Oryzias latipes: one gene and its partner. The protein of the gene in region 1 binds, or shares a complex with, the protein of each later gene. Links are inferred from orthologs where the notes say so. Each region holds a gene or a part of one and is shown in the gene's direction. Other genes may lie near its edges. The genes, in order: cpsf3 and cpsf4.

Evidence for each region.
Region 2: cpsf3 (region 1) and cpsf4 share a complex: the UniProt entries of both Homo sapiens proteins name them as parts of the cleavage and polyadenylation specificity factor (CPSF) complex. The link is inferred for Oryzias latipes from reciprocal best matches to the Homo sapiens genes CPSF3 and CPSF4.

The regions. Positions count from the first base shown.
Region 1 is NC_019882.2:22,749,553-22,766,073, reverse strand, and holds the start of cpsf3 (cleavage and polyadenylation specificity factor subunit 3), read left to right. Parts: upstream 1-9,553; 5' UTR 9,554-9,610; coding exon 9,611-9,681; intron 9,682-11,702; coding exon 11,703-11,766; intron 11,767-11,841; coding exon 11,842-11,939; intron 11,940-12,015; coding exon 12,016-12,144; intron 12,145-12,531; coding exon 12,532-12,709; intron 12,710-12,783; coding exon 12,784-12,873; intron 12,874-13,597; coding exon 13,598-13,748; intron 13,749-13,834; coding exon 13,835-14,010; intron 14,011-14,720; coding exon 14,721-14,879; intron 14,880-15,239; coding exon 15,240-15,386; intron 15,387-16,409; coding exon 16,410-16,521. Other genes in the region: arf-GAP with SH3 domain, ANK repeat and PH domain-containing protein 2, read left to right, coding at 1,549-1,607, 2,043-2,107, 2,186-2,305, 2,389-2,463. UniProt on the Homo sapiens protein: Component of the cleavage and polyadenylation specificity factor (CPSF) complex that plays a key role in pre-mRNA 3'-end formation, recognizing the AAUAAA signal sequence and interacting with poly(A) polymerase and other factors to bring about cleavage and poly(A) addition.
Region 2 is NC_019866.2:19,278,666-19,295,412, reverse strand, and holds cpsf4 (cleavage and polyadenylation specificity factor subunit 4), read left to right. Parts: upstream 1-9,278; 5' UTR 9,279-9,593; coding exon 9,594-9,696; intron 9,697-9,853; coding exon 9,854-9,904; intron 9,905-10,900; coding exon 10,901-11,053; intron 11,054-11,140; coding exon 11,141-11,236; intron 11,237-12,054; coding exon 12,055-12,148; intron 12,149-12,244; coding exon 12,245-12,317; intron 12,318-12,418; coding exon 12,419-12,577; intron 12,578-14,695; coding exon 14,696-14,764; 3' UTR 14,765-15,084; downstream 15,085-16,747. Other genes in the region: shmt1 (serine hydroxymethyltransferase, cytosolic), read left to right, coding at 5,091-5,183, 5,282-5,427, 5,503-5,618, 6,105-6,265, 6,429-6,510, 6,587-6,799, 6,873-6,986, 7,076-7,198 and 3 more; atp5mf (ATP synthase subunit f, mitochondrial), read right to left, coding at 15,310-15,338, 15,416-15,532. UniProt on the Homo sapiens protein: Component of the cleavage and polyadenylation specificity factor (CPSF) complex that play a key role in pre-mRNA 3'-end formation, recognizing the AAUAAA signal sequence and interacting with poly(A) polymerase and other factors to bring about cleavage and poly(A) addition.

The DNA.
Region 1 (16,521 bases):
CAGCATTCGCGTCTTAAAGGCTACGTTTGATTTGTTGTGCGGGGAGACTCAGTTCATTCACAGTCAATTAGGCATATTTCTGTGCAAATTGGAGGTTGGTTAGTTTGCAATGGAATAATAAAATTAGTAGATGATTCCGTTTTCTTAAAACTACTGTGATTGGTAGTTCAAGATAAAACCTAGCACAATGGTAGAAGTGAAACATGCAACAAAGAATTAATTTATATTTGAAAAAGTCATTGAAAAAAGAACAATGCAGGAAGATTGTTCAAGAGGAAGATTGAAAATGAGGATGAAGATGTACAAGCTAAAATTATAAGAGGAGAAGAAGAAAAGGAGAAAGGAGGAGGTGCATTTTCTGCATGATCTAGTTATTTAGTACATTAATCAATTCAATGTTTTTTTCCACAAAGCCCCATCAACATTTTTATTTATAGTCAAGATTTATTCTCAAATGCATTTGTCTGCAGTGATGTAAAAATTCATTTGAACAAAGATTTAATTCATATCATAATTTGTGGTTACTGATCGGATTCATAGTCGATTTTGGTTCATTCTAAAACGATCCGGTTCTCTGACCTGAAGTGGATCCAGATCATCTTCATCCAAACTTCCAGCAGTCAGACTCAGACAGAAATTCCTGCTACTGAACAGTGAAGTTTTCCAGATTCTTGGATTTCTTCCAGATCATCAAGTGGAAATGAAATCTGTGTCCAAACAAATAAATAAACTAGAATGAATGTCAAATCCATTCACATGTTAGTTTCCTAAAGTTCACCACTGTTGTTTTTCCACATCCAAAGAATCCAAAGGGAACATTCTTAGAACAATTTAGACACTGGATGGTCACATGACTCTATTCAAAGTCTGTCCACACATTGATGGACTGGAATGATGGACTGATCCGTGTTTGATGACATCACATGTGTGTTCTCTGCTATGATGCACTTGGTTGTTTATACATTGTTTTAAAAAAAAACTACTCTGCCTCAATCCAAATTGTGTTTTTCCAAATCTATTATTATCAACTTATTTTATTTTGAAATGATTTTATAATAGTATAGTTTGATTCAATTTCTTTAACAACTTGCCTCAGACAGATCGATCTGGTTGGATAAATCAATTAACAGATTATTCATGACACCCCTAATCTGCTTTTAATGCTTTTAAAAAGATTTACGTTGAGGTCATTTGTTGTATTACCGGCATCCACAAAAATCTACTTCCACCCCTGCTACAGACTGCTGTCAATCAATCTCCTCCGCACTGTATCTCTACAAAAGGACTGCAGCAGATCTTTGGTTTCTTTCTATAATACTGGACTTCTTTTTCTATGAAGGTTGGAACTTTGAAAGTTTAAACAAGAGAGAAACGTGTGAAAATGTTCATGTTTGTCTGAGAAAAGTTGATAAAGTGTGTAGTGAGGAGTTGTACAGCCTTAAAACATCTGTAATCCTACTTTGCAGATTCTATTAATTTTAGAACGTAAACCCTACAATAAATGAGGGAAGACTATACTTCTTTATATTCTAATTCTGTCTTTGGCAGATTAGCGAAGCAGCCTCCACAGAGACCTCCTGTCAGAACTGGATCTGTAGAGAAATCAGGTAAACACTCTTGCATGTGCAGCCACACAATTATCAGACTCCTTTTACTGTCATATACACAGCTATTACACTGACATACAACATGTTTTCCAGTGCAACCCAAACAGTTAAGGGGGTTCCCCATGATGCTTAAGCTTTGTAAACAAATTTGACATATGATTTACATTTTTTTTTGCTGAAAGCTTCATGAGGGTGGAATGATGGCAGATCCTAGGAAACAACATTACTTCATAAAATATTTTTCTACTTTGAATGTTTGCTGCCCATGATCCCAAAAGAGATGAAGTGGTTTGGAAGGTGGATGGATGGAAGTGTTTGGTGGTTTAATGCATGCTTTAGTTTTCTTTTCTGGTCTTTTCCTAAGTGTATACCTTTATTGTCCCTGAAATGATTCCATATTCATGAGGTGGATGGACTTTATCTTGTGTATTGCAGGTCTTCAGTCCAAATCTCCACATAGTCCAGCTCCTCCATTACCCAAACCCAGAAAAAACCTCTCTGTGAGTCCTAACCTGTTCACAATCTGTGGCTAGCACTCAGCAAGTCAACCAGCAAAATGTTTTTGTATTAAAATGCAGCAGCAGAAGCCTAAAAGGGTGAAGGCCATCTACAACTGTTCTGCCGACCAACCGGATGAGCTGACATTTAAGGAGGGGGAGGTAATTGTGGTGGAGGGGGAGGAAGACCATGATTGGTGGGTGAGTATAAGCCGCTCCGCTGTGAGGATGTAGAGGGTGCTGGGGCATGAGATTGTCTGAAGGCCAGTGCCCTTTTGTTGCAGATCGGACATGTGGAAGGAGACCCGGGCAGGCGGGGTGCGTTTCCTGTCACCTTTGTTCACTTCATCTCAGAGTGATTCCTGCTCCCCCCATCCTGGACCAGCAAGGGAGGGTCAACTTCTGAGAAACATGCAGCCTGCACCCTTGCAGCACCTTTGTGCCTTCTACAGACTCTGAACTTGTGCCCGCTTTCGCTTGAACCCCGTTTTATGCAGAAGATAATAATGTCATGCTCTTTCAACACAGACATGGGTGGGATTTAAACTGTGGATGAAACCGTGAATAAAAACATGTGCTCTGACCTGCTGTCTCAGTTCCTCCATGCTTTCTCCATGCTTCATTCTGTGGACATCGTCAGGTTGGATGAAGTTGCCCTTTCTCTAAATGGGGAAGGGGATCCCGAAGACATTGAGCTCTGTTCAAGTTCACATCTAAACTGAGGGTCTGTAATAGCTGGGTTTGAGGACGGAGTTTTCTGCACATTCTCACAGAATATTCTCCCAGGCCAGCCGAGAATCTTAGTGTCTCCTATGGTTTCTTGGTCTTCCCTGGGGGCCTCTGCCCGGTAAGACATCCCCAAAACAGGCCAGGAGGCATCCAAACCAGATAACAAACAAGCCAGATTGTACAGATCTGACTTTGACACATTTTTCCTTTAGTTTTATTTGCACATGACATCAATGTGAATAAACAGAAAAGTGACTGGATGCTCAAATATGTTAAACTTTTTCAATTGAATCTCACACTTAAGCAAAAGTCATCTATAAATATTGCAATTAAACATTTATGTGCCTTAAAAATGTACATTTTAGATTGTCTTGGTTTATGTGATTTTCTGGATTGTTTTTTTTTTTTCTCATTTTGTCTCACAGTTGAGGTTTACCTATAATGGAAATTACAGGCCTCTCTCATCTGTTTAGGTGGGAAAACTTGCAGATTAAATACTTTTTTGCCCCACTGAGTTTCTTGATTTTTGGCCTTAAACTGCATAATCATAATTAAAAGACTACAGGGAACGCTTTTACAACAGATAAAAAGATTACCTGAGTGTGACTTTAAACCAACATCATTCTGTGAAATAGTTTAATCTCTGTTTAGTTGCTGTTGATGTTTAACTTTGTTTTCTCAATTTGTCTGCTGAGTTATGTTGATTATGACACCCAAGGTCGCCTTACAGATGCAAAGCAATTATAAAATTCAGTTACAAGAATGAAACATGAGTTAAAAAACAAAAAAATAGAATCATAAATTTATAAGAGTGGATATGCTAGTCTGAAGAGGTGGGTTTTGAGAGTTATAGCAAACTGAGGGAGTGAGTCCATGATCCATAAATCTGAGAGAAGAGAGTTCCAGAGCTGGGGGGCAGAGCAGCTGCATGTTCTGCCCCCCATGGAGATGAGCCGAGTGGTGGGTGTAACAAGCTGGAGCGAGGAGGCAGACCTAAGGGAGCGGGTGGGAATGGCAACATGGATAAGGTCAGACAGATATGGAGGGGCGAGATTATGGAGGGCTTTGAAGGTCAGAATAAAGATTCTGTAGTTAATCTGAGGAGGTAGTGGTAGCCAGTGGAGCTTCTGTGGGACGGGTGTGATGTGCATAGTGGAGGGGGTTTGTGTTCTGATCTGGGCTGCAGAGTTTTGGAGCAGTTGTAGTTTGTGAATAGTTTTGTGAGGGAGTCCAGATAAAAGGGAGTTGCAGTGGTCCAGACGGGAAGTGATGAGACTGTGGACTAGAATGGCTGTGGAGTGAGGACTGAGAGAGGGGCGGAGACGGCCGATGTTTTGGAGGTGGAAATAAGCGGCCCGGATGATGTTATTGTTGTGGGCAGTAAAGGAGAGAGTGCTGTCGAGGATGACACCCAGACTCTTAACCTGTGGGGAGGGAAGGATGGAGCAGTCATAAAAGGAAATGGAGAATTTAGGGAGTTTATTTAAGGTTTGCAGTGAACGAGGATTTTATTTCAAGGAGGCCTTTGGAGACCGAGGCAGGTGGAAGAGTGGAGTCAGGCTCAGAGGAGAGGTAGAGCTGGGTATCATCTGCATAGCAGTGAAAGTGAATGTTGTGTTTACGGGAGAAATAACTAAGGGGAAGAAAGTAAATAATGAATAGCAGGGACCCCAGGAAAAAGCCTGAACACTGTAAACTCAATGACAACCTTTTACATAACACAAACTTTTGTAAAAATAAAAAATCAAATCACTTATTTTTAATATAAAAGCAATACAATGCTTGTCTCCTATTAGCAGATGAGAGAACAACTGCTATTATTGAAGGACAATTATTGGCTAGGAAAAACAGACGAGATCAGACTAAAATAATTTCCATATTAAAACACATTGTGTAATTTAACTCAACTAAGTCATGAGATTGTCATTGAAATTAACAAATTACTATCTTAATGAGACAAACTATACAGAAAAAGCAAAAGGAGCATTTTGTCATGGTACCTCCGGAAGTACTCTCCCCCCTTCTCTTCCTCATCATCCTCAGATTAGACCCAGCTGCCGGCACTTCCCTCATCAAACTCCAGTGTTTAGGATGCCCTGATTCCTGTATTCATTGTGAGTTTGTTGCCTACTAGTGAAGTACCTGGTCTCGTGTGTGCCTCGTTTCCTAGTGATTCCCTCGCTCTTGCCGAACCAAACAATGAAGTTATCATTCCTGTCTGCAGGACAAACCTCACCCACCAAGTGCCGACCTGGATTCATCTCACGCTCCTGATTATACCATCTTGACGTCAAGACCTCCAGCCATGCCACTTCTCTACGCCTCGCTCCGCCACCTGCCCACTTCATCCTCACTCGCCTCACCACAAAGAACCCACAACAACCAAGGGGAATACTTACCGTCTGGTCCTCTCCTCGTCTCAACCTCCTCCAGTGTTTGTCTCCACGGATCTCCTTGTCTACATCCAAGAACAATAAAACTCTTTTCTCTGCCAAGCCCTCGTGTGGGATCTTTCCGGGTTTCAGCTATTGGGTCTGTTCTAGTTATTGTCTATCATGACACATTTAATCGCTCAAAGGCAAAATAGATTGAAGATGGAAGAGGGAAAAAATTCTACTTTCTTTTTTGAACTTGGAAGAAAGTAGAGAAAGGAAAAAAATCTATCACCAAGTTACAAATTAAAAACTCTCTAGTTGAAGACCAAAACACTATTAACCCTCGAGACCAAGGTATTTTACTGACTGTAATGACTGAGTGGGGTCGTTTATGAACCCATTGTGCTACAGGGATCCTTATTATGAATGGCTGATTGGGGGGTTTATCATACTGAAACTACTCCCCGTGTTTAAGACAGGTTTTTTTTTTTTTTATAATCTAATGTAATATGTGTTAATAATACACATTGCAAGAAATAACCAAAACACAGACTTTAAGGACAACATAACATTTATTTAGACAGTCCTTGTTCCAACTTGCAAAAGGACATTTTTTTTTTGCCAACCTAAATGAAAACATACATTATAAAAAAGAGGAGTTTGAGTAGAAATATTTTAACTTATGTTGAGCTAGCATACTGCTAACATCAACAAAAATAATTAGCTGACTTGCTGACTAGGGAATATGCTAAAATTGGTAAGGAGGTCAACCTACTCAGAACACATTCAATCAACCTATGTTACTACCATGCCTGTTTTTAAAACAAAAACCACACAAACATCTTGTTTGTGTATGTGTAATATGATATCAAAAAATAACTGAAAATTGTAACTCTCAAAAGCAGATACCCAGTTATGAAAACAAGTTCCCTCAAAGCTATTGAAACGAAGTTCAGCGATGTACTACAAACCACTTGTTTGTGGCTATGTTCTGGGCACACTGGCTGGTTGCATGAAGCATATGCACGTGAAACTTTCCTGTCAATGTTGCGTAGGCAAAACGAACAGCGCTTGCGTTTGCCAGGTATTGCAGCAACTGCGGGCTGCTCTGCAGGGTTAGCAGGACCAACACCAATGCTTGCTATTCCTTCCCTAGTTGCTTTATGGAGGTTTGGAAACTGTGACCTTTTCTATACATGTGGCTTCACTAGTTCATACCCAAGCTCTCTGAGAAGGGTTAGCCCTAACCCTAACCCTAACCCCTAACCCTAACCCTAACCCTAACCCTAACCTTAACCCTTTTCATCATCACTTTGGGCTTGAAGTATTAGTCCCATTGCTTCAGCAGCTGTAAATCTTGCTAGCCTAGGTCTGTTGGCCATGGTTCACTGCAACACAATATAAAGTACTGATTAGAAGTGGAACATTTTAATAAACTTGAAAAACCAATGTTTAAAAACCAGTGCTTCTCTTCGGGGTCATAAATGACCCCACAAGAGTTGTGATGTCACACAAATTGCCTGATCCCTGCAAAAAACGATGAAACTGTGTAGGATTAGTAGACTGACAAACTCATGGTAGGAAAAAAAATTCGGATAAAAAATAAAGATCTGGCACATTCAATTATATGGCTGGGGTCATAAATGACCCCACCCGGTCACTTGAGGGTTAAGGATTATATCACTAACTTTTTAAAAAACTTTTGTACTTCTCACTTTTCAAGTCACAACATCTTCTTTGAAAAGTTAATTCGGGATAAAACCCCTAAAATAGATGTATTCAGAACCAGAGAGGATCTAAAATAGATCAGAAATATCTAAAATAAGAAATTCAGAGATCTCACAGAATCTGAACACACCTGAACTTGATACGGCTGTTCCCCAAATGGCCAGTGGGAAGTCACCAGGACCTGAGGAATTACAGCTGAGTTTTATAAACACTTTTGGAATAACATCAAAGATTTTTTGCTAGAGGCGTTCAAGGAATTAACAAACATTAAAAGAGGCATTACATCCCTTTTAGCAAAACCAGACAACGGTGTGTTATTAACTGAAAATTGGAGACACATCACACTTCTCTGTTGTCATAAAATATGAGCACATGTCTATGCCAACAGAGTGAAATCAGGAATAGGTCAGATCATAGATGAAACACAGTCAGCCTTTATTAAGGGGCGACACATTCATCATCAGACTTGTTTAATCTTAGATATCTTAAGTTACAACCAAATTATCCCCCATAATAGTCTTATCCTCTTTCTGGATTCTTTTTAAGGCCTTTGACTCATTAGAACACGCATTTTTGTTTAGCTCCTTGGAAACCTATGGCTTTGAATCAAAATTTTGAAACATAAAAAAAAATGATCTACAAAGACATAAATAGCAGAATTATTCTTAACCGAGGTTTCTCAAACAGCTTTCCTGTAAATAGAGGTGTTTGCCAGGGATGTCCTATTAGCCTGTTGTTGTTTATAAGCTCAGCTGAATACTATAGCCATCTTTCTGAAATATTCTCCAGATTTTGCGTTTATTAACATTTTAGGTAAGAATTTTAAAATGAATCAATTTGCTGATGACACGGCTTTATTAAAAAAATATATATATATATATATATATATATATATATATATATATATATATATATATATATATGTGTGTGTGTGTGTGTGTGTGTGTGTGTGTGTGTGTGTGTGTGTGTGGTATATATTGTTATTGATAAAATGTTTTTTTTTCAAGAGCATCTGGCCTTATTCTAAATCTCAAAAGATGGGAAATCTTGCCTATTCATACCTGCACTCTAAGTAATATTGAAAATAACCTGTGAAGTGAAATATCTTGGTCTAATAATGACAGAAAACAGTAATGATAGAGAAAGTGTAAATATTACCCCCAGACTGAAAACAATATAGAAACTTTAAATCAGTGGTTGGGACGTGACTTATCCATATTTGGCCACAATCTATTATCTAAAGCAGAAGGTTTTTCAAGACTTGTGTTTCCCTGCCACTCAATCTATGCATCCCCAAAAACGATCAAGTTGTCTAATTCTATTCTCTTTAAATTTATTTGGAAAAATAAAACGTACTTTTTACTAAAACCATAATTGGTTAGAGATAATAGATAATAATGGCTCAAAAGCTTTAGATGTTGAATTACAAAGTGTAGCATTTAGAATAAATTGGTATCGTATGAAATCTATGTGGTATCATATCCCAAACAAACTCTACCGGAGAACTATCCTTTTGCAGAAGTGTGAATATGATCTGTCAAAAAAACATTTATACAGTCAAACATTTACAAGCAAGCATTAGAATTTGGGAAAATGCCAACAACTCCCACAACTTTTCCCCCCACAATACTGTTTTATGGGACAACAGAATTATACAGTAACTGTAAACAAGATATCCTTGTTTATGTCTTAGTGGTGTGATGATGGTGTGTTTTTTGTTCATGACTTGGTGCGTACAGATGCAATGCTGTTATCCTACAATGGGTTTGTAACCAAATACAAAATTAAGGATTCTAGTTGCTGTTATAAAAAAGTCTTTAAAGTAATTCTCATACCTTTACTTAATCTTGTTCATAAAATATTACCATGCAATCAAACCACACTTTGCAGAGTTAACCATTAATGATATCCCCATAAAAGATAAAAATGCAAAAATAAATTAGTGACTCTAACCTTTAAACAAAAGGTTTTTCTCTCACAATAGACGTGACCCAGAAACCACCTTGATAGACTAATCATTTTCTTTATACACAAAATACTTTCACCTAAAATGAAAGAAACGGATTTTAAATAATATCAAAAATGTACCCTGTTGGAGATTTTTTACATAAAAGATTCAAATTTCAATCCAAACCATGTATTTTCTGAAACTGAAAAATTAGAACACTGTTGCAAAAAGATAAAATTATTCATAATCAATTGTCACTTAAAAATTGTAATATTTCTTCTTTTTCATTACTTAATGTTCTCTTCTTTATGGAAAACCTGAACGTTTCTGATGTCATCAATCTTGTTATTATTTTGTGTAGATGTAGACACTCTATTTAGGTATGTAAATGGGGGGGGGGGGGGTCCTTTTTTATTTATTTTTCAGATATTGTATTACTTTAAGTTTCTTTCCTAAATGCATTTCAAACCAAAACAAGAAACTACATAAATGTACAGAAATATATCCAAACTATTGTTATTTTAAATTGTTTTTTTGCCTTATATTTACCTATTTTTAAGAATTTTTTTAGTTTTTGTTTTTTATTTGGTTTTGTACTTGGTTTGTAAAGAAAAAAATAGAAAGAAAGAAATAGTGGGGGCGGAACTTACAGGCGTTGTGTCGCACGGAGAGTTTTCGGGAAGAACCGGAAGTAACAGCAGGCGCGGCATCGTTGAAGAAGCAAACATGGCGTCCAAACGCAGGGTGGACGCGATGGTTCCTGCTGAAGAGAGCGACCAGCTGCTGATCCGACCCCTGTGAGTGTTCGAACCGAACCCACCGAACACTGCAGCTAGTGAGCCGTCACCGAATAACAACGGACACTGGCGGTCAAACCTAAATGGGCATTTCCGCTCCATGTCTAAACTGAGCGAGATTTATTATGCTTTCTAATATACGTTCATAATTTCTGTGGATTTGCCAGGTTAAAAAAAATGTTGGCTTGTCATCCCGCTGCAGATACATTTTTTTCCACTTTTCTGGACCTTTAAAGGCGTGAGCTCTGAATGTGAACATGATGATGCTGAAGACTGTGCAACTTTTGCCGAAAGAGAAACAATGTTTGAAGACACCAAAAACACCTCAAATGTAATAATAGTTTAATTTTCACAATGAAAACATTAAACTATGATGACGTTTGTTGCAGATACAGAAAGACAGCAGGAAATCAAAGCTCACGTTCATTCAAATTAGTTTATGGAAGTGTTGCTTTCAAGTGCTGTAGGACATTTAAGTCACTGGTGGAAGTCACCAGAGAGAAACAAACTTTGATGTTGACGATCAAATATTTCAAAATAACATGCAGGAACATTTTTCCTAATTAACTTGTAACAAACAAACAACGTGTGATTCCAGGTAGCTGATTCCTTTGGTTTCGACAGTAAAACATAATAATGAAGCTTCAGTTTCCTGCTGAGTTTTGGAGAATGCCGTGTGTGTGTGTGTGTGTGTGTGTGTGTGTGTGTGTGTGGGTGTGTGTGTTTGTGTGGGGGGGGGGGGGTGTGTGGGTGTGTGTGTGTGGGTGTGTGGGGGGGGGGGGGGGGGGGGTTGGGGTGTGTGAGTGAGTGAGTGATGTCCTGGTGATGCGGGTGCATCTTTTTTAGACAAAACCTTTGCATTTCAAATTGCTTTTTTTTAATTTTCTATCGATGAGCCTTGAGTCTCCTAAACATTTGAATGATTAAACTTTGAGTTGGTAGTGATTTCAGTCAAAGTAGTTTCCACACCACCTTATGGTTTCTGAAAAACCCAAAATGGGAATTTTGTTTCTTTTGCTCCCGGCTTTCCAAGGACAAATTAGCAGAGTTAGATTTTTTTTCCATTAGTTTTTTTTTAAATTAAATGAAAATTCATTTAATTTAAATGGTAAATGGCGTATACTTGTATAGCGCCTTTCTTCCTACAAGGACAAAGCGCTTTACAGTCACAGACCCATTCACCCAGTCACACACACAATTTGCTGTTTACAATTTACAACCAGCGTTATTGTAAATAAAAAAATCCCATTAACTTATAGCTGAATTGAATTAATTCAACCTGACAGCTGACTCTGACCTGTTTGGGAGACTCATTGGTGCCTGACACCTTTGGATTGTTGCTCAACAGTTGGCCAGTTATCCCCACATGGTTGGAGTCCTTGCGGCTTGAGTTTCCCCCATGTCACAAGGAGGGTGAGAAGTATCAAACCTCTCCAGTCCAGACTAAGTTCTCTCCATTGGTCTTGTATGAGGTGAAGCTGCAGCGTTGCACATCCCAACAGGAGAAATGACTAATTACAGTGACAAAAATGTAAAGGAGGTAGAAAAACTTGGGCAAGTAGTTGAGGACCGGTCCACAGAGGTTTTGATCACGTTGATCCACAAGTGCCCCCATTCTTTGTCATTGAGTTAAAAGTCTATGTCAGGGGTGTGAGGATCCAGACTTCGAGGGCCGATGTCCACCATCTTTTCCAACCAACCTGTCCTTGTTATTCACCTTTCGGCATATCCCTTCAGGGTCGCCACAGCCAATCAGCTTCCACTGATTCACACAGGTGGTTTGGCAGGTGTCCTTCCTGACACAACCCTGTATTTATATCATGACTGAGGACCCAACCAACCTGCCGTTGAAGCTCCTTATTGGATAAACCCACCAGGTCATGAGCTCCAGACAAGGCAGGATTTCTGGTTGGGCTTTGAGGCCTGGAGTTGGACCCCCCTGGTCTAAGCACTGTGTTTGGGTACTTTCATGAGTAAGCACAGCTCTTTACTGTGTGACTGTTTGATGTGATTGTGACCAGGGGGGCTGGACAAGAGGTGGGACGGTCCTGCATCATATTGGAGTTCAAAGGGAGGAAGATCATGGTGAGATTCTTTTGGTTTTCTTTGTCACAGCAGCTGTTAACATTGTCAACAGCTGTCTGTGTGTTGGTACTCCAGCTAGACTGTGGGATCCATCCTGGTCTGGAGGGGATGGACGCCCTGCCGTACATTGACCTGATCGATCCGGCTGAGATCGACCTGCTGCTCATCAGTCAGTAAGTGAGAGCTGCCGTGAACGTGTGCAAAGGTGCACATGCAGCTTTCCACTAACCATCCATTCTTGTTGTACAGTTTCCACCTGGACCACTGCGGAGCCCTGCCTTGGTTTCTGCAGAAGACCAGTTTTAAAGGGCGGACGTTCATGACGCATGCCACCAAAGCCATCTATCGTTGGCTGCTGTCAGACTACATCAAAGTCAGGTACAACTCGTGTTGGAGTGAAAGTCTTAGGTCTGATGCAGCAGATCCTGTAGGTTAGACGTCTTAGTAACCCTTGTGCTATCCTAGGCACTTTAACATTGGGAGTTGGGTCATCTAGACCCACTAGACAGTGCTCTGAACCTGTTTTCTTCAATGATTTGTGATCTTCATTGGTGTCCATGGATTACATGAAATCTTTCCACCTTTATCCACCTTTGTCATGGTAGGGAGAACACGTCATTGGAAGGGGGGGGGGTCATCTAAAGTAGCACAAGGGTTAATGCAGCTACTTCAGGTTCTCTAGTGATGCCGTAGGACCTGTGGCTGATATTCTGGAGTTGGGGCACAGCTTGGGTTTTTTGTTCTGACCCGTCTGTGTGTCTGCAGTAACATTTCTGCTGATGAGATGCTCTACACGGAGACGGACCTGGAAGACAGCATGGAAAAGATTGAGACCATTAACTTCCACGAGGTAAAGGAGGTGGCTGGCATCAAGTTCTGGTGCTATCATGCTGGCCATGTGCTTGGAGCCGCTATGTTCATGATCGAGATCGCAGGAGTCAAGGTAGGTTTGTGTCTGGATCCGTCTTCCTAAAGCGGTTTGTCTCTGGTGCTCAGTGCTTGTCTGTGTCCCTGCAGTTGTTGTACACAGGAGACTTCTCCCGCCAAGAGGACAGACACTTGATGGCGGCGGAGATCCCAAGTGTGAAACCAGACATTCTCATCACAGTGAGTTTGGCTTTAAACCCCCCCCCCCGATGATCAGATATTTTTCCTCCCCTTAGTGACCAGCTCAGGCGCAGGCTCATGTCTCATGCTGTCTCATGTTCAGACATCAGTAGGGATGCAGTACTGAAACGGTATCGTTTGGTACCAGTGCCACGTCATCAGTTACTGGACTGATAGGTTTCAGCCATAATGGGATCAACGGTACCGGCCAAGTGGGGCAGCAGCGCCCACACAGCGTGCACTACTTTGTTTGAATGTGGCTGCTTTTCCTTTCCTGCTCCAGTACGACGGGGGGGGGCTGCTCATACTTTGTCCCTCATGTATTCCACTGCTAACAAGTGTGTAACGACAAACGCACAGTGATGGCAGAGCGACGCGAGCAAAGGGTCCAAAGTGCGGCTGGATTTTTCTAAAGTACATGCAGACAGCGCACGGCGTCTCAAATGTCACAAAAACGTTGCTTCTGAGGGCGGTTAGACCTGTGAGCTGTCCAAACACGCAGCCAAAAGACACCAGACTCTAGATGGAAAGTGCTCATGTTATTAATGCAAAAACACCGTAGGAGTTATTGAGAATTTTGTTTTACTCATTAAATGAATATACCGAGTTTTAATGAATTCTAAACTAAGAGCTTTTCGTCTCCATAGTCTGTTGGTCTGGTAGTATTGGGTCCTCTGTCCCGTCTCAGAATGGTGTTGAACAAATATCTGATCCTTTCTGTCAGGAATCCACCTATGGAACACACATCCATGAGAAGCGTGAGGAGAGAGAGGCCCGTTTCTGCAACACGGTGCACGACATTGTAAACAGGGAGGGTCGCTGTCTGATCCCCGTGTTTGCTCTGGGACGGGCTCAAGAGCTGCTGCTCATCCTGGGTGAGTGCACAGGCACAGATCATCACCTTCTGGTTCTGAAGCCTGTGATGATGGTGACGCAGAAACTGTTTGTGCCTGTGGTCCAGACGAGTACTGGCAGAACCACCCAGAGCTCCACGACATTCCCATCTACTACGCTTCGTCTCTGGCCCGGAAATGCATGGCTGTCTATCAAACCTACATCAACGCCATGAACGACAAGATCCGCAAAGCCATCAACGTCAACAACCCTTTTGTCTTCAAACACATCAGTAACCTGAAGGTGAGCACAGAACTGCAGCAGCAAAGACAAAGTCACACGCCAAAGCCACATTTCTGACATGTTCATGAAACTCAGAGCATCATTTAATGTGCACTTACTGAACTGATGGCATCACAAAGTTGTAAGTGAAGCGCTGTCCCAACCCCCCCACCCCTCACCAGACTGTCATGCTCTGTCATGGTGTTGCTCAGCCTGGGAGGAAGCTTCCTCCCAACAGTGTGGAATGTGTGACACTGAAGTGATGGAAGGAGAACAGCACAGGCGTCAGGAAGCATCGGCCTCTTCCAGGAGACATGAACACAGTGGAGGAGCTAACTCCAGCTGGAGAGTGGAGACATTGCTGCTCATGTGTGTTCTAGCACTCAACTTTTGACACTTTATTGCATTTTCCTGTTCTTCAGCCTAATGTGACTGGTTCATCTCACACCACTGGAGAACTTGCTGTTTCTCCCAGGATTTTGACATAAAATGTGGCATAAAAAGTCCAGGGAAAGACACTTTTATTTCAACAGAGGCAACATCGTGGTAATGATTTAAGCAGAAAGGGAAAAGTGACACAGTTCCCTCTTATTTAAATGTAGTTTCATTTGAAACAGCTTCAATGTTTGTAAAAGAGGTGGTTAAAGAACAAAAATTAATGACAAATGAAACCGTTAAAATAAGAGTTTCTGTTGAAGCCGCCTCCTGTATTAATGCTGTTGTGCTTTCAGAGCATGGATCACTTTGATGACATTGGCCCCAGCGTGGTCATGGCGTCCCCCGGGATGATGCAGAGCGGTCTGTCCCGGGAGCTGTTTGAGAGCTGGTGCACGGACAAGAGAAACGGTGTCATCATCGCTGGATACTGCGTTGAGGGAACGCTGGCCAAGGTGAACCTGCCAAGAATTGCTTAGCCAAAGCCCCCGTCACTGGGGGGAAACCCCCTCCATCTCTGCAGCGCTTTGAACCAGCTGGAATCCTGCTGACATGCAGCTGAAGGACTGTGGGTGGCAGTGTGTTGCCATGACAACACGGAACACATTAGGGTGAAGATCAGTCCAATTTGACTGAAACACTGTAGAAAACCTGTCAAAAGTAGAACTGATGCTGGTGGAGGAAGCATCGCTGGTCTGTTTGCCCTTCGTCTCTCAGAAGGTTCAGAGACTTGAAGTGAAAACAGAGTCCAGCTCACATTTCCACAGAGAAACGTGCTTCACATTTCTGCCCCTGCTCTGATCCTGCTGTTGCAGCACATCATGACGGAGCCTGACGAGATCACCACCATGTCGGGCCAGAAGCTCCCTCTGAAGATGTCTGTGGACTACATCTCCTTCTCTGCTCACACAGACTACCAGCAGACAAGCGAGTTCATCCGAGCACTCAAGCCTCCCCATGTGGTAATCACTCACACACCTGCAGATCAAGCCCAGATCCATCCTATCAAAGCAGCCGTGCACGCCGAGTCAGCCACATTGAAGTTGAATAAAGTGACTTTGGTGCAAAATGCCAGGCCTGGACTAGTATATCTGTGTTCTACATGTCCTGCACTGTCACCTTTTAGCATGTTGTTTTTGAAGGATTATATTATTCTAGTCACTTTGGTATGTGAGGTCTTCTTTAGCATCTCTGACAGACGGCTCAAACTCACATCCAGGACTGAAGTGTCTGCCTGAACATCAATCCCAAACATTTCATTCTGACTTTATTGCACACATTTAAGTCACATACACTGTGGCTGGAGGTGCATTCAGGAGCTGCATGGAATTTCTGCACTTCAGGTCTGCTGGTTATTTCTAGCATTTGTTCACACTGACCTCAGCCAACAAAAACACACTCTCACTTGTTGCTCTATGTCATTGTGAGTCTTTAAAACGACTAAAGACTCACAACTACAACACACTGGTCTGTATGAACACACAATAATACAAAACGATGCACATATTTTAATACATGCATGTGTTTTATGACATCGGGGAAAAAACAGAAACTTTAAAGGAATTCTTGTCTTGTTTAGATATAGATAGATAGATGTGTTTTGCGGTGTAGCTGTTTGCTGGTTCTAGTGTCAGACCGTCCTTGGGCAAGACACCTCACCCTCCCTGCCCCCTCTGTCAGTCTGCCCCAGGGCAGCTGTGGGTCAAAGGTTACCGTTAGCAAGTGTAAATGAGGAGTGAATGCATAATTGGAAAAATCCAATCCATTATTATTATTATAACTTCCTGTCATGAAGCACAACAAACCCAAATATTGGTAATACTGGTAATGTCTGGATTGAAGAAGTTGTGCATCAGCGCAGCTTCAGCCTTTTGACCTGAAGCTCTGCTTGTTCTGAGAACCTCTAGATTCTGAGGAGCTCAGTGTGAAGTGTGGTCCTCTTGGAGCGCAAAACCAGCGATCAGCAAATGTTTCTGGATCTTCAGATTCTGGTGCACGGAGAGCAGAATGAGATGGCCCGGCTGAAGGCGGCTCTGATCCGTGAGTACGAGGACAACGACGAGGTCCACATCGAGGTCCACAACCCGAGGAATACCG
Region 2 (16,747 bases), on another chromosome or scaffold:
CGTGTTGTTGGTATGTTTTGGTTTGTTGTTTCTATTTCAGCTGAGGCATCCTGTTTCTTTCTTCCTTTTTTTTTTCTTTCTCTTTTACGTGGGTGTGGTCGGAGTGTTTGGGCATGTTTGTCTGTCTTTGTCTTGTGTTTGTCGTGTGTTAACGTTATAATGTCAAATGTTTAATTTTGTTGTCGTCGGTTATGAGTGGTGTTGAGTGTGGGATTGGATTCCTATAAGCATAAACTTCTTCCAATCCCCTTTCAAATCAAATTTTCAAAGTCTTGTATTGACTCACTTTAGTTTATGCAATTGTTGTTTTGATTTGAAATAAAACATGTTTGATATTTAAGTATACTTTCAAATCGGTTTTAATTAAATTAGGAAAGGACAACATTTTTGTTAAAATCAGAGATGTTTTGAGCATTTGTGGGCTTCAGCTTAGCTCAACAATGACTGTGCAGGGCATTGCTGTTCACCCAGAAATACAATGAATTTACCTAAAACAGAACAGAACACTTCGCTCACAAACTGCAGGACTGCTTGTGGTTCCTAGAATTAGTGAAAGTACAGTTGGAGGTAGAGCGTTTAGCCACCAAGCTCCTGTTTTATGGAATAAACTCTCAGCTCATGTAAGACAGTCCAACACAGTTTCTACATTCAAAGTTAGACTGAAAACATTCCTCTTTGGACAGGCTTATTGTCCGACCAGCTAGTATTCAGAGATTATTTAACTTACTATTAACATGTTTGAATTCAACTTAATAACAGTTAATATACAAAAATTAATAATTAATTAATTAATCAATTAAACTTAATAACAATTAGTTGTTGTTAGGCTGCTAGGAGTTTGAAGCTGGGGAAACTATGATGCACTGGGGTTCTGTCCTCTATTCTCATCTACTTCTACTCTCCTTCTCTCCTCTGTTCTTGATCATTTATCATTTAGTTCTCCGTGACCCTGTTTGGTACAGTGCGATTCTTGTACAGTCCCTCTTCCAGATTCCAGTTGGCTCATCCGTGCTCCCATACCGGACCAAGTCCCTGGTCCCTGGCTCGTCTCTGCTCCTCCTGCTCCTACTCTTGGGTGTGGATCCTGACTCTGGCTGGTCTCGCGCCCTCAGCTGTCCAACATCTCCATCTGGATGAAGCCCATATGATGGACTATTTAAATATGAAGTTGTAGAGTTAGAGAAGCTATTTCTTCTCCAAGAGTTCTGGTACATCGCCTGTCCGTCCTGGGGGAGGATCACTCCTTCATGTCGACACCCCTGAGGTTTCTTCTTTATTTCCGGAATCTGTTTTTTTGGAGTTTTTCCTAATCTCCCGAAGGAGGGTCTAAGGGCAGGGATGTCGAGTTTAGTTCAGTCTTTTTAGTTAGTTCAGTTTAGAATTTTCCAATTGGATTCTATGTATTCATGATCCTTTTTGATTTTATGTGTACTTTACTATTACCTGTACGAAGCCCACTGAGACGACTGTTGTTGTGATTTTGGGCTATATAAATAAGATTGAATTGAATTAAAATTTTAAGGAAAACCATGTTAATGTTTTGTCAACAAAACTTAGTTTTGCAATCTAAACTTAATTTAACAATAACTCAATGCATTTTCAAACAAAAAAAGCTACTCCTTATAAAGTAATTTTTCTTTTGTCAACTATAATTTTAAAGAACATATTTTGTTTGGTGTTTGCAAAAAAGTATCTTCATGTTTGAAAGAAAGAAAAAAAACGTAGTTTTGACTCCGACCGCACGATGGCGGTATTGCGCCTCAAAACGTCAATCTAACTCAGGAAGAAAAAAGTCGAGAGCGGGTTGGTAGAAAGTTTCGCGGACTTTGTTCACGGTTAGATAACATTTTTTTGTGTCGCGTCAGACGGCGGCGGGAGTCTAACGGGTGTTTAGTGAGTTCACTTTTACCTCAAAGCTGGTAAAATTAGTTGTCGTCCAAAAGGAAGATATTTTATCTTCATACTGATTTAGCGTCAATCCGCCTGGTATTTGGCATAAAATGGTTGCAGCTGTCAAAACTAAGCTAGTTTTTAGTTTTATTGCGATTTACTGTGATTATTTATCGTTGCAGGCTTCTCTTTAAACTTTTAGTCGCTTTTCTAGCTCAGATGTACGCGTCTGTTGAGCGGATGATGATTGCAAATGAAACGCACGAGCTCGCTGTGGCAGCTGATCGCAGTCATGTGCAGACTCCTAACTTGAGAGACTTCATAGATTTTTAAAGGAATGTGTTGTTTACATGGTTTTGACAGGACCGTCGTGGTATAAAGGGTACTCGTTGAGACCATATCTTTGCCACATTTTGTGTCAGGCAGCAGAGAATTTGAAGCTTTTGTCTGAAATGTATCAGTAGTTTGGGAGGATGGCTCGTCAGTCTATGATACGACGCTGAAGTTGGCTTCCGATTCACAGCTTCCGATTCGCGAGGGCACAAAAGAAACATTCCGCTGCAGTTTTCGCACTAAGACCACCCTAAAACCGGGTCCTGTTCAAAAGCCGCTGGACCTGGACTGCTCAAACCTGGATTAAATTATACATTAGATACTAAAGAACACATTAAACACAGTTTCAGATTTGTGAAACCTTCCTCTGATTTGTGAAAATCTCAAATAGGTTGATTTTTATCGCATTTTACGCACTGAGTCCACCTTAGACCAGGTCCTGTTCAGAAACCGCAGGATCTGAACTGCTCAAATCTGGATTAAATAATAATTTAGATAGTAAAGAACACGTTAAACCCAGTTTCTGATTTGTGAAACCTTCCTCTGATTTGTGAAAATGTGAAATAGGTTGATTTTTATCGCATTTTACGCACTGAGTCCAATTCAGACCAGGTCCTGTTCAAAAACCGCAGGACCTGGACTGCTCAAATCTGGATTAAATAATAATTTAGATAGTAAAGAACACGTTAAACCCAGTTTCTGATTTGTGAAACCTTCCTCTGATTTGTGAAAATGTGAAATAGATTGATTTTTACAGCATTTTACGCCCAGAGTCCACCTCAGACTAGGTCCTGTTCAAAAACCGCAGGACCTGGACTGCTCAAACCTGGATTAAATTATAATTAAGATAGTAAAGAACACAATAAACCCAGTTTCTGATTTGTGAAACCTTCCTCTGATTTGTGAAAATCTAAAATAGATTGATGTTTATCGCATTTTACGCACTGAGTCCACCTTAGACCAGGTCCTGTTCAAAACCGCAGGACCTGGACTGCTCAAACCTGGATTAAATAATAATTTAGATACTAAAGAACACAATAAATGCTGTTTCTGATTTGTGAAACCTTCCTCTGATTTGTGAAAATGTGAAATAAGTTGATTTTTAATCACATTTTACGCACTAAGTCCACTTCAGACCGGGTCCTGTTCAAACACCACTGTGGGAAAAAGTATCATTTCATCGAATTTTATGCAATTTAAGGATAATGGGGACAAGGGAAGGACAACTTTAAGGAAAACACCATAACAGGGACTTTAAAGTAAATCAGAAAACAAACCAAGAAATATTGAACAGAAAAACAAAACTTAAGTCAGTGGTACATGCTAACCATGACCATAACTATTTGTCCAATCTGACATCTGTTTCCCAGTTTCTTTTGTATGTTGAGATTTTGAGACTCAGTGCGTAAAATGCTATAAAAATCAACCTATTTCACATTTTCACAAATCAGAGGAAGGTTTCACGAATCAGAAACTGTGTTTATTGTGTTCTTTACTATTTTAATTATAATTTAATCCTGGTTTGAGCAGTCCAGGTCCTGAGGTTTTGGAACAGGACCCGGTCTGAAGTGGACTCAGTGCGTAAAATGGGATAAAAATCAACCTATTTGACATTTTCACAAATCAGAGGAAGGTTTCACAAATCAGAAACTGTGTTTATTGTGTTCTTTACTATTTTAATTATAATTTAATCCAGGTTTGAGCAGTCCAGGTCCAGCGGTTTTCGAACAGGACCTAGTCTAAGGTGGACTCTGGGCGTAAAATGCTGTAAAAATCAATCTATTTCACATTTTCACAAATCAGAGGAAGGTTTCACAAATCAAAAACTATATTTAATGTATTCTTTAGTATCTAATGCATAATTTAATCCAGGTTTGAGCAGTCCAGGTCCTGCGGTTTGGGAACAGGACCTGGTCTGAAGTGGACTAAGTGTGTAAAATGGGATAAAAATCAACCTATTTCACATTTTCACAAATCAGAGGAAGGTTTCACAAATCAGAAACTGGGTTTAACGTGTTCTTTACTATCTAAATTATTATTTAATCCAGATTTGAGCAGTCCAGGTCCTGCGGTTTTTGAACAGGACCTGGTCTAAGGTGGACTCAGTGCGTAAAATGGGATAAAAATCAACCTATTTCACATTTTCACAAATCAGAGGAAGGTTTCACAAATCAGAAACTGGGTTTAACGTGTTCTTTACTATCTAAATTATTATTTAATCCAGGTTTGAGCAGTCCAGATCCAGCGGTTTTCGAACAGGACCTAGTCTAAGGTGGACTCTGGGCGTAAAATGCTGTAAAAATCAATCTATTTCACATTTTCACAAATCAGAGGAAGGTTTCACAAATCAGAAACTATATTTAATGTGTTCTTTAGTATCTAAATTATTATTTAATCCAGGTTTGAGCAGTCCAGGTCCTGCGGTTTTTGAACAGGACCTGGTCTAAGGTGGACTCAGTGCGTAAAATGCGATAAACATCAATCTATTTCAGATTTTCACAAATCAGAGGAAGGTTTCACAAATCAGAAACTATATTTAATGTGTTCTTTAGTATCTAATGTATAATTTAATCCAGGTTTGAGCAGTCCAGGTCCAGCGGTTTTTGAACAGGACCCGGTTTTGGGTGATCTTAATGCGAAAAATGCAGCGGAATGTTTCTTTTGTGCCTTCGCGAATCGGAAGCTGTGAATCGGAAGCCAACTTCAGCGTCGTGTCTATGATTGTGTTTGAATTGATATCCATGTGGCTTTGACACTTAATTCCTTTTTTGATAAAGTTTTAAGTGGATTTTCTGGTTGAATGATTTGCCTCAACTTCTGTTTATTATTTTAGATTTTATCTGCTTCCAACCAGTAAAGAGACAAACATGGCTTTGACGAATGGCCACAGCATTAATAAAGAAATCTGGGACTCTCACAACAAGATGATGTTGGAGCCTCTGGCTGTCAACGACTCTGAGGTTTGTGTCTCTCCTCACCAACGTGCAGCACTGTGAACATTTCTTTAGGTTTTTCAGGTCGGGCTTGTTGTGATGGCAGTGTTTCTGTTTATATTCAGGTGTTTTCTATCATAAAGAAAGAAAAGAAGAGGCAGACGTACGGCTTGGAGCTGATCGCATCTGAGAACTTTGCCAGCAGGGCTGTTCTTGAAGCTCTGGGTTCTTGCATGAACAACAAGTACTCTGAAGGTTATCCTGGCCAAAGGTCAGGATTGAGTCATTACTAGAACACTGAAGTTTACCTTAGTTTACCTATAATTCTGGATGTGTGTTTATTTAGGTATTATGGTGGCACAGAGCATATTGATGAGCTGGAGAGGCTTTGTCAGAAGAGAGCACTGGAGGCCTTTAGTCTGGACCCAGAGAAATGGGGAGTGAACGTGCAGCCATACTCAGGTATCAAACTCTTGCAGTGACTGATTTTAAGCGACGTGATTGAAAACCTCTGAACACTGCTGACCACCTTAGTGGCCCCTCCAGTTGAAATTCGCCTCTTTTGATGAATAATTTGAAAAATAAAGTTAAATTATATAGCAAAAATGTAATAAACAAGTTGTTTCATTGGCAGGAAACCAAAAAGTAATGACTCAAATATTTATGCTTTTTCACCAATTTATTGTGCAGACTCAACCAGAAACCACAATTCCCATCTCCACCTGTAGGGGGCAGTGTCTTGAGTTGCTCCTAAAGGGATTGAAAATTCTTGCTGGTATCATTTACCAAACGTCTAGTGTATTTGAAAATAAACGATATCTTCTAAACATTTTGACAGATTCTGATTTTCTCTTTGGGCTCTTTATGGCTCCTCCATGTAAACCTTCTGGAGGCAGCTCTTCTGTAAAATATGGATTTCATTTACCGGTACTGTGTTTCTTCTGGAAGGTTCTCCAGCCAACTTTGCTGTGTACACGGCTGTTGTGGAACCTCATGGCAGGATCATGGGGCTGGACCTTCCTGACGGAGGTCACCTGACACACGGCTTCATGACCGATAAGAAGAAGATCTCTGCGACGTCCATCTTCTTTGAGTCCATGCCGTATAAGGTACAAAATGAGTATGCATATATGTTGTTAGCTCGAATTCTGGATGTTTCTCAAAGACACAAGTGTATGAATAAAAAGTGACAACTAACAGAAGCACCTTCAGAGTGAACCATCTAAACTACACGGACGTTACCACACAGCTGATGTTTTTTTCCCTTTCAAGGTGAATCAAGAAACCGGCTACATCGACTATGACAGACTTCAAGACAACGCACGACTGTTTCACCCTAAGCTCATTATTGCAGGTTATTAAACGCACACACATGCACAGGCTGCAAGTTTGCTTTAAAATGTTCCTAAACTGTCTCCATCTGCCCGTAGGAACCAGCTGCTATTCCCGCAACCTCGACTACGCCCGCTTAAAGCAGATTGCTAATGAGAACGGCGCCTACCTGATGGGAGATATGGCTCACATCAGTGGCTTAGTAGCTGCTGGGGTTGTGCCGTCACCCTTCGAGCATTGTGACATTGTTTCCACGACGACCCACAAGACGCTGCGCGGCTGCCGTGCTGGAGTCATTTTCTACAGAAAAGGTAAAAAAAAAATAACATTTCAAAAGAAAAACTTTCATAGGATTTTTTTGGTAACAAATGGACTTTTAACCAGGAGTAAGGAGTGTTGATGCCAAAGGAAAAGAGACTCTGTACAACTTGGAGTCGTTGATAAACCAGGCGGTGTTCCCGGGGCTGCAGGGTGGACCGCACAACCACGCTATTGCAGGTGTCCTGTCGTTCATTTCTTCTCTGTTTTTCATCCTAAAAGCTCTTGAGCCATGTCAGCATCTGCTTCCCCCGTTCTCTGGTTTACAGGCGTTGCTGTGGCTCTCAAACAGGCCATGACTCCCGAGTTCAAGGTCTACCAGCAGCAGGTTCTTGCTAACTGTAAAGCTCTGTCCAATGCCCTCGTGGGCCACGGCTACAAGATTGTTACTGGTAAGATCTGTAATTATATGGATTTTCTTCCATGGGATGTTTTCTGATGTTCTGTGTTTCTATAAAGGCGGTTCTGACAACCATCTAATCCTCCTGGACCTGCGCAACAAAGGTACTGATGGTGGACGAGCTGAGAAGGTGCTGGAGGCCTGTGCTATTGCCTGCAATAAGAACACCTGTCCAGGTATTCAGACATAAGCTGGGGTGCAAATGAGTTGATCAGTTTGTAAGCTTAAGAGGGAAGGAACCTTTCAAATATCTTTTTTTTTTTTGTTGTATTTTTGCAGGAGACAAGAGCGCTCTCCGTCCCAGTGGACTCAGGTTTGGCTCTCCAGCTCTGACCTCCAGGGGCTTGGTGGAGGAAGACTTCAAGAAGGTGGCTTTGTTCATCCACAAAGGTGCACCATCCATCTAAAAATGCTCCTAAAAACATAAAGTGATGTTTCTCAGGCAAAACGTGACTTTCGCCAATGTTTTTTCCTGTAGCTGTTGAATTGACCCTGGATGTGCAGAGGAGCCAGGATCCCAAAGCCACTCTGAAGGAGTTTGTCCAGGCTCTGGCTCAGGGAGAGAAGTTTCAGGAGCGAGTAGCTGCGCTGAGAGCCGAGGTGGAGGCTTTTGCCGGTCAGTTCCCCATGCCCGGCCTGCCGGAACTGTGAGGCCAGACGAGAGTTGGACTAACGTTTATTGTTTAAACACACCAGTCAATGGGTGTATTCTGACCTTAAAGCATTCCTCACTTGATAATTCAATAGAATTGTTTTTATTAAAGACACATTTAAGCTCAGTCCTGCAAATGTCATTGTGTCATGATTTAGTAATGTTACAGAGTCCTGATGTTTTACTTGGGATTCACATCTTTTAGATGTTACGATCAAAACTGACTGGAAATTCATGACTGGAATTTCGATTTTTAGTAAATTAAGTCCAAAAACATTCCATGAGTATGTGTAACTCATTCACTGTAATAAAAAGATTTCATGAAACCGCCAATGAATACTGTTTTTTCTTTGTCCTTTTAAAGACTAATACAATAAAATCTTCTTATTTTTATTGATATCTAAAGTTTTAGGTTATTTTGCCATATTCCTGATAACATCATTACTTCTGCTTTCTTTTGGTTTATTTTATAGCCTGAAACGTCTATATTCCTGTCAACATGACGTAAGTCTTGAAGCAACGGGCTTTTAACAAATAGCAAAATATCATTGGCATAAAGGGATCATTTATAAATAAACTCCTGTATGAATTTCTTGATGTATCATCTCTCTTAGAGGTTTGATACAAAAAAGGGTAGAGGGTAAGGTCTGACTCCCCTTTATTTTATTTTCTATTATTTAAAAAACTGTAATGTCCAATCATTTTTACTTTGATTTAGAGTTCTTGTACAGGCATCTAAACCAACAATTACATGTTTTTCCAAATTCGAACTAATAATCGAACTTGCAAAATGTCCAATCTATTTTGTCAAAAGCCTTTTCAGCATCTATGTATTGAAGTATTAAAGTATTGAATACTGTTTTTTTTTTCTTTTTCCACTGTAGAAAAACACAATAAAAGCTTAGAAAGCTTATTCTTGCTTAAACATGTCATATCATCATGCTTCCAATGATTATAAAATGCTGAACAATTACTCATTTCTGAAGCGTCGTGTTTCACCCTAAAACCAGCAGATCACAACGTTGTATTAGAGTCTCTTATGCAGTCAATGGATCAAATCATTTGGTTGATCATACCAGACTTTGAATGAGTGATTTTTTGTTTAGGAGAGGGGTTTGCAGTGATGAAGCATCAAAAGCATTTTGTATTCATGATCTGGTGTGTGACATGCTAATCTCTGAATTGAACTTTAACCTGTTTTTTGTTTATTTTTATAAATAATTGGACATGGAAATGCATACACGAGGTGCAAGTTAAGAAAAATGATCAGATGCACATACGTGTCCAATATGTCTAAACAATAAAATAGTAAAATAAATGAAATTTTCATTCGTTTTTGGTCATTTGCCAGAGGCAAAGTGTCAGAAATGAACAGGTTTGGTTAACTCAACGGTGACATCACTCGACTTGCTCGACAATCGTTTAGATCCGTCTGAATTCGTCAGGTCAGAGGTCAATGTGCGCGCGTCCTCAAACAGAACCTCTGTCGATTCGGAGACAAAAATATTAAGTCATGTTCACCTGTTTGTTTGGAAATAGTTGATATAAGGACTTCGGTGATCCTTACCTTATCTCATTGTTATCCTCTGCTCTTGTTGTTTCGCCTGGCTCGCCCCGTTAGCCACTTTAGCTGGCTAATGAGGGAATCGCCGGCTAACAGTTTCGACATTAAGCTATCTTAGCTTAAGTTAACCGAACAAGTCTTTGCTTTGAAAGCTACCAACTCAAGGCAAACATGCAGGAGCTACTAGCAAACGTGGATCACATCAAGTTCGACCTGGAGATCGCTGTGGAGCAGCAGCTGGGAGCGCAGCCTTTGCCGTTTCCCGGCATGGACAGTAAGTGCATGGATGCTAGCTTATGCTAATGCTAGCATCTTTTTTTGTTGAGAATAACCATAGTTTTTCTCAGGTTCGCCCTCTTTGGTTTCTGTTATTTTTAATAGAAACAACACGTTATAATTGTCAGTTCAGTTATAATGTTGTCTTTTTGCAGAGTCCGGCTCAGCTGTGTGCGAGTTCTTCATGAAGGGAACGTGTATGAAAGGTAAAGCATCTACAGTCAGAAGCATCTGTTGCGCTGCTATTATTATCTGCATTTAACAGTTTTAAATGTTCAGAAACGTTTTATTTGGAAGGAAACTGCAATGTTTACATGTTGTTGGTATCGTTTGTCATTTTAGTACGTTGTAGGCGGGAACCAGTTTACTATAACTTTTTTATTACAGAAATAATAAACCGCTGAAAAAAAGTTCTTTGATAAACTAAAGAGGTGGATACAACTATTTTTAAATATTTTTCTTTCATTTAAAATGGTTAATGGTGATTATTATTATTTCTTTCTGGATATGTTTGGTAAACTAAGTAAATTTAAACTTTTTTGTTTTCTTTGCAAAAGTTTGCTTTGAAATAATTATTCTTTAAAACCTTATTTGCATTCTATTGACAAACGCTAACTTGTAAAAAATGTTTAAAATAATTTTTAAACTTTATGAAATAACTCTTTAATAACCTTATTTCCTTTTTCTTAAATAATGAGCCAGAGCTTTAGTTACAAACTACTGCTGTTTGTAAAATCCTGATTTCATTTTTTTTTAATAGATGACTTACACTGATTAAGATTTTTACAGAATTTAGTTGGGACATTTGCCCGTTCGTGGCTTTCACTGTCGTGATGTTCAGTTTACCTTTTACAGCTCTATATTTCATTAACTTCTTGTGTTTTATTGTGATTTTCTGTATGTACTCAGTGTCACACTAAGGCAGACATGAGCAAAATACGGCTAAAAGGTCTGGATGTAATCATTTATGTAATCATTATTGTCTGGCCTTCTTACTTTTTATTTTGTCCTGTTTATGTGCACCCTAAAACCTGTTTTACATTTCTGGGGTTACAAAGAAGGCAGTTCTGCAGAGACTTTATTTTTAATCGTATGTCTATATTTGTGTGAGGTTTTGGTGGGTCACGCTTTCATATAAAAGTGAGGAAAACGATCCCTGCATGTGTCGTATGAATCCACAAAGCTGTGTCTGTGTCTCTCAGGTGGAATGTGTCCGTTCCGTCACATCAGCGGGGAGAAGACGGTGGTGTGTAAGCACTGGCTCAGAGGGCTCTGTAAGAAGGGAGACCAGTGCGAGTTTCTGCACGAATACGACATGACCAAGATGCCTGAATGCTATTTCTACTCAAAGTTTGGTGGGTTCACTTGACTTCCTCGTTTAAAACGCTTTCCATTGCTTAGCACGCAGGTCTGATAGATTCAAACTGTGTGTTGGCTCTCAGGTGAGTGCAGCAACAAGGAATGTCCCTTCCTGCACATCGATCCAGAGTCTAAGATCAAAGACTGTCCTTGGTACGACAGAGGCTTCTGCAAACACGGTAAGGTCCAGCCCAGTGTCAGGTTTTCGTGCTCTGGATTCGTTGTAACCCACATTTTTACCGTTTTTATTTTTTATTTGATTCGGAAAGAGGCTTTATTTTGAAAAATTTCTGAATTCTCCCCACCACATCTGACTCATTCTTGACACATAACAAATTGCTCAGTGACGTGCTGACAAAAACGCAAATGTTCCTGGAAAGTTTTTTTTGTTCATAGAGCATATTAAGTGAGGAAACAGAAGAAGAGCCTTTATCTTCAAAATACAAGAAATCTGCATTTGAACAGACAAAAACCAGGAGTCTTTACTGCAAATGTGGATTCATTGTGACAGTTGTTCCCACACGCCATAACAATGGGGCATCATATTCAGCAACCTGCTGTGTAATGTTACGAGGATGTTTGCAAATAACGTTGCTGAAATGGTTTATTAGTATGTTTAGAAAATACAATTTTTAGACACAATTATTTTTCATATTTATCTGTCCTTAAAAGTCAGACGAGGCTGAAGTTGGAATTCGATTTTTGTAGCTTCCACTTTGACAGTTATGGATTAACGGGCCTGTATCCTGCTTTTCTTAAGCCTTTCAGGGTGAACTATATCCATAGAAATACAAATATTTTACAGACGATGAAGATAAACTTGACCCTCAAAAGTTAAAGGGAAACTGAAGGCAAAGATAAAAAAAAGTTGGTCGTCCCTTTCAGTCTCATACAGACTGCTGTGTGAAAATATTGACTGTTCAATCAGACCGGGGCCTGAAAAAAGTTGGGAACCACTGATATAAGTAATCTTCATTTTGTTCTCCTTCCCCACTAGGTCCTGACTGCAGACACAGACACACCAGAAGAGTGATCTGTGTGAATTATCTGGTGGGCTTCTGTCCAGAAGGCAAATCCTGTAAATTTATGCAGTAAGTAAACATTTCTGCTTTCAATAATGGTGTAATTGGTTTGGGTAAAGTTCTGAATGTGAGCGACATCATGTGATGATAAATGTTCCTCTGCAGCCCGCGGTTTGAGTTGCCTATGGGAACATCTGAACAGCCCCCTCTACCACAGCAAATACAAAACCAGGGAAAGGTGCGAAAATGGATCCAAGATTCAGTACCTGCAAGTGCTTCAAGTATTTCTGGGCTTCAATGGGATTTTTTTTACAGCTCTCTGTTCATTCTCTGCCACAGACTGCAGCTTCCAGCGGACGCTCGTCTCTTTCTCTCATCCAGCTGACCAACTCAAGTCCAGGCCAACGCCAGCAGAACAACACAAACATCATTTCTCATCAAAACAACATGAATGCCAACAGAGGACCCCGACCTCTCGACCAGGTCACCTGTTACAAGGTGAGTCGCCTGAGGCTCTGCTCTTGTTCTGTCATTGTTCTGCAGTGAGGAACATTAGCAGTTTAACATAAATCAGGGCTGTAATGTCTGTGTTTATCTTACAGACAAAAAATAGAATTCAGGACTCTCTGTGGGTTCAATCTGTTCGGTTTTATTCTTCAGTTTCTCTCCGACATACAGTCCCAGTGCATCACCAACTCTTCTTTGGAGTCTCTCTCCACATCAGTACCCTGATGCTCCACCTACCAGTGCCCTCTTCTGGTCATTTCTAACATTACAAGCTGTTAGCAACGTTTGACAGGGGTGCTCATGACGTCGAATGCGATCGACCGGTCGATCTTCAAAGACATGAGGTTAGATAGCAGGCCAGCAAAGACAAATACCGAAAAATAAAAAAGTGAATTAAAAAAATCCATCAGCAAATCAAAATCCTCACGAGAAGTACGGCACTTGATTGACATGGAGAACGGCCAATCAAATATCCTCAGACACATACGTCACTGCACGTGTGTGTTTAAATACACTGCGCGCAAATTCTGTCATCAGATAGTCACTACTTTCCCCGCGCAAAGTGTGAGCAACCCTGGTTTATGACAGGAAATGTTCTCCTGGACATTTGTGCCATCACCAACTATAATGCAAACTCTAGTATACAAAAACATTTCCAATATATCAGAAATTTTATTTAATTCATAAATGGCAGGTGGACGGCAGCTTTTTGAAAACCCATTTTGGCATTAACTCAAAAAGTGCTTTCATAACAATACTGCGCAAGGAAAATAAGTCGAAATAGTGTTGTAACTTTTGGGGTCACAGTAACAGAGCTGGGTTAATGAAGCCTTTCCTTACGCCCCCATAGGGAAAACAAAGCTCATTGGAATTGTTTTTTCAAATCCAAAAAACATGTATTTTCAGCTATAAAATCTGCTGTCACAGATGTTAAATTAAAGTAATTTTGGAGCAGATTTTTCGATAAATGAAAACGGTTTCCTTTTAACTGATTATTTAAACTAAACAAAGGTGCAACTTTCTGAATAAAAATTACATTGATTTTTTTTTGTTTTTTTTAAGCTACAATAGAAATTGCCAAAAAAAAATTGGTAATGGATTTGATTAACTGACAATGCATATTAAAAATAAAATTCATTTTTTTTTAAGTAAAGCCCTAATGCACAATTTATGAAACTTGAGGTTCACAGCTCCTCCCAGAATGTAAAAGATCAAGTAATAGTTGAGGCCATATCATGCTGGTTTAAAGACCCACATCGATGAAAACAATGTTTTTGGTGTTTTAAAAAATGATTATGGAAGACAAAATTGCATTTCTGAGGTTTTTTTCAGGATGGAGAACAGTTTTCTGAGAAAATACAATGGGCGGGCCACAAGCTCCATTCTGATGCATCCACTGTCAGACAAATGGATTCATGAACATCTTTTTGTCTGAGCTGGCATCTGGCTCAAAACTGTACAGCTGGATAGCTCCAATATTGCTCGCCATTTTTGTTGCAGCACTAATGTTATGTTGGGGTGTGAGGGGCTGTAAGCTTGCAGGAGAGAGTGTAAATAGATGGGTGACAGGAAGTGGGGGTGGGCTCACTCTGCAGCAGTGGTCCCACCCCCAACTCAGAGGAGAAATTCTAATGAACTTCTGCTGCACTGCAGAAATTATGTCTCGGAAAACAGTTTTGTTTTTGTCTAAAAATGGCATAATCATAATGAAAAGACCACTGGGAATGCTTTTATTATAGATCAAAAGATGATCAGTGTGATGATCAAGTGTTTAACACTTGTGCTATCTTAGATGACCCCACACTTACATTAACGTGTTCTCCCTACCATGACAAAGATGGATAAAGGTGAAGATTTTAATGTAATCCATGGACACCAGTGAAGATCACAATAAAATGAAGAAAAAGGGTTCAGAGCACTGTCTAGTGGGTCTAGATGACCCAACTCCCAATGTCTAAGTGCCTAGGATAGCACAAGGGATAAAACCTGAACTTTCAAGTTTAAATTTGCATTTTGTGCTACATTGTCTTTATGAATCATGTATTTCCTTCTCTGATCTTTAATGGTTAAACATTCTGAAATAACTACAAACTGTTATCCTGTCTGCAGTGCGGTGAGAAGGGCCACTACGCCAACAAATGTACCAAAGGCCACCTTGCCTTCCTGAGTGGACAGTAATTTGGGCTGCAGTGTGCTGCCTCAGGAGATGGAAGGACGCCCTCGTCCTCACGGTGAACAGACTTCAAACTTTCTCCTGTGGGAATTCACACAGACGAAACCTGATTTTTGCAGGATGTGGACGATAGAAAAGGTTTCAGTTCGAAGTCTGGACTCAAAGATGTGCGCTTTAAAACGATAGTTCCAGTTCCCAGCCTCTTTAAAGGTGCCATTGCGATTTTTTTTCTGGTAGGATTCTCGTCAGTGCTTCACTGAAGTGCTACTGTCTGTAATTTCCTAATAAATCTGAGTGATGACCCATAGTGGGGATGTCAACACAATCAGTGTGTGTGATTGAACACTTGAAACTTGTCTTTTCAGCCATTGTCACACACAGACTGGAAGACGTTCCTGTCAGAACCACTGATATTCAGATCTATTACTAAACAAACTCACTGGAACATGAAACTGGTATTGTCTTTAATTGGTCACATTAATACAACAGAGCTGAGCATAGAAGCAGGAGGTGCCAGGATGTGACGGTTCACCCCGATGGCTGCTGGGACTCAGTGGTACTTCCTCCAGCGATCGTGTTCTACCAAAAAACAAGATGTTCAGCAAATCTGGCAAACCAAACCAGGAAAAACGTAGTTCAGATGGTAAGAATCTCACTTATGTGGTCGTATTCCCACAAGTAGCTGATGGCCACGTATCCGACCAGCAGCATGGCCACGCCGCCAATGCCGCCCTTCTTCACATTGATGTACTTGTTGTAGTATCTGTCGTGGCCTGAAAGCAAAAGGAAAAACTGCTTTAAGGATTAAGAGTCTAGAGCTAAGTGTCTCTGATTTGATGATTTAAAGTTGTAGGGGTTATTTTTTTTTTCAAAGATCAAAATACAACAAAAGTGGGTTTGAAGTTTTTTTTATCGTGACAAACTTCCAACCTTTACTTTTAGACCACTTATAGTTTTTTCTTTTCTAATCTAAAGCTATTGGGGAAAAAGATCTGGTCTAGAGTTCTGTAATTTAACATCAAAAAACCGTAGGAACACTTTAGAGAGCAATCCAAACAATATTGACCAGAAACTTCTAATAGCAGAACCCATATGTAGACAAAGCCTACGGTGATCCACAGTTTACAACAAAAGCAAAAAAAGACATTTTAGTTTCCTTGAACCTGTTTAGTGAATTTGATCACTTTGACTGCAAAGCAGCAGAAGAGAGAAGAGAATCTGAAAAAGGAGATGAGACACGAAGAAATGGAACTATTTAGATTTTGTGTTCTGTAGCCATTACCATGACAACGCGGGACACCGCGTTTCAAAGAGTCCACAGGAAAGAGGAGCGCTTGCTGGTTTCGACTGCGCGCTAACATACAAGCAAAGCATTGTGGGATTTGTAGTATTAGTGGTACAGTATATGATATACATTTGTTATGATCTCACAGGCCAACTATAATTACACCCCGGGTGGGCCGGGCCTGAGTTTGACACATGGGCCTTACATAAGGAACGATGCTCGACGAGGTATGCATTATCAGAAAACAATGGACGATGCAGAAGCCTGACCATCCAAAGCGAAGTGAGATTGCTACTGTGAAATAAAGCATCAGTTCAGAGGGAAAGTTACTGCATGTTTTTGTCCAGATGATGAAGCTAAAGTTTGTTTCAAAGAAACAAAGTCTAAATTGTTCAATTCCCCCTCATGTCTCTTCCTCAGATTATTTTCTCTCTCTTCTGCTGCATCCCAGTCTTTAAAATGACCAAAAACCAAACAGGTTAAAGTAAACTATAAAATCACTTGTCTTTTCTACTGTTTTTCTGTTGGAATAAACTGAGGAATAAGTTCCAACAACCTATGTTTTTTTAAATGCGTTTTAAACATGTTAATAATTGAAACACCAACAGGCTTTTTGCGAAGGGGCAGTGCTATAGAACATTTGGGCCACATGACCAACATCTTTTCAAGGTGTCTGTTATTTCTGTGGTACATCACTTTTTAA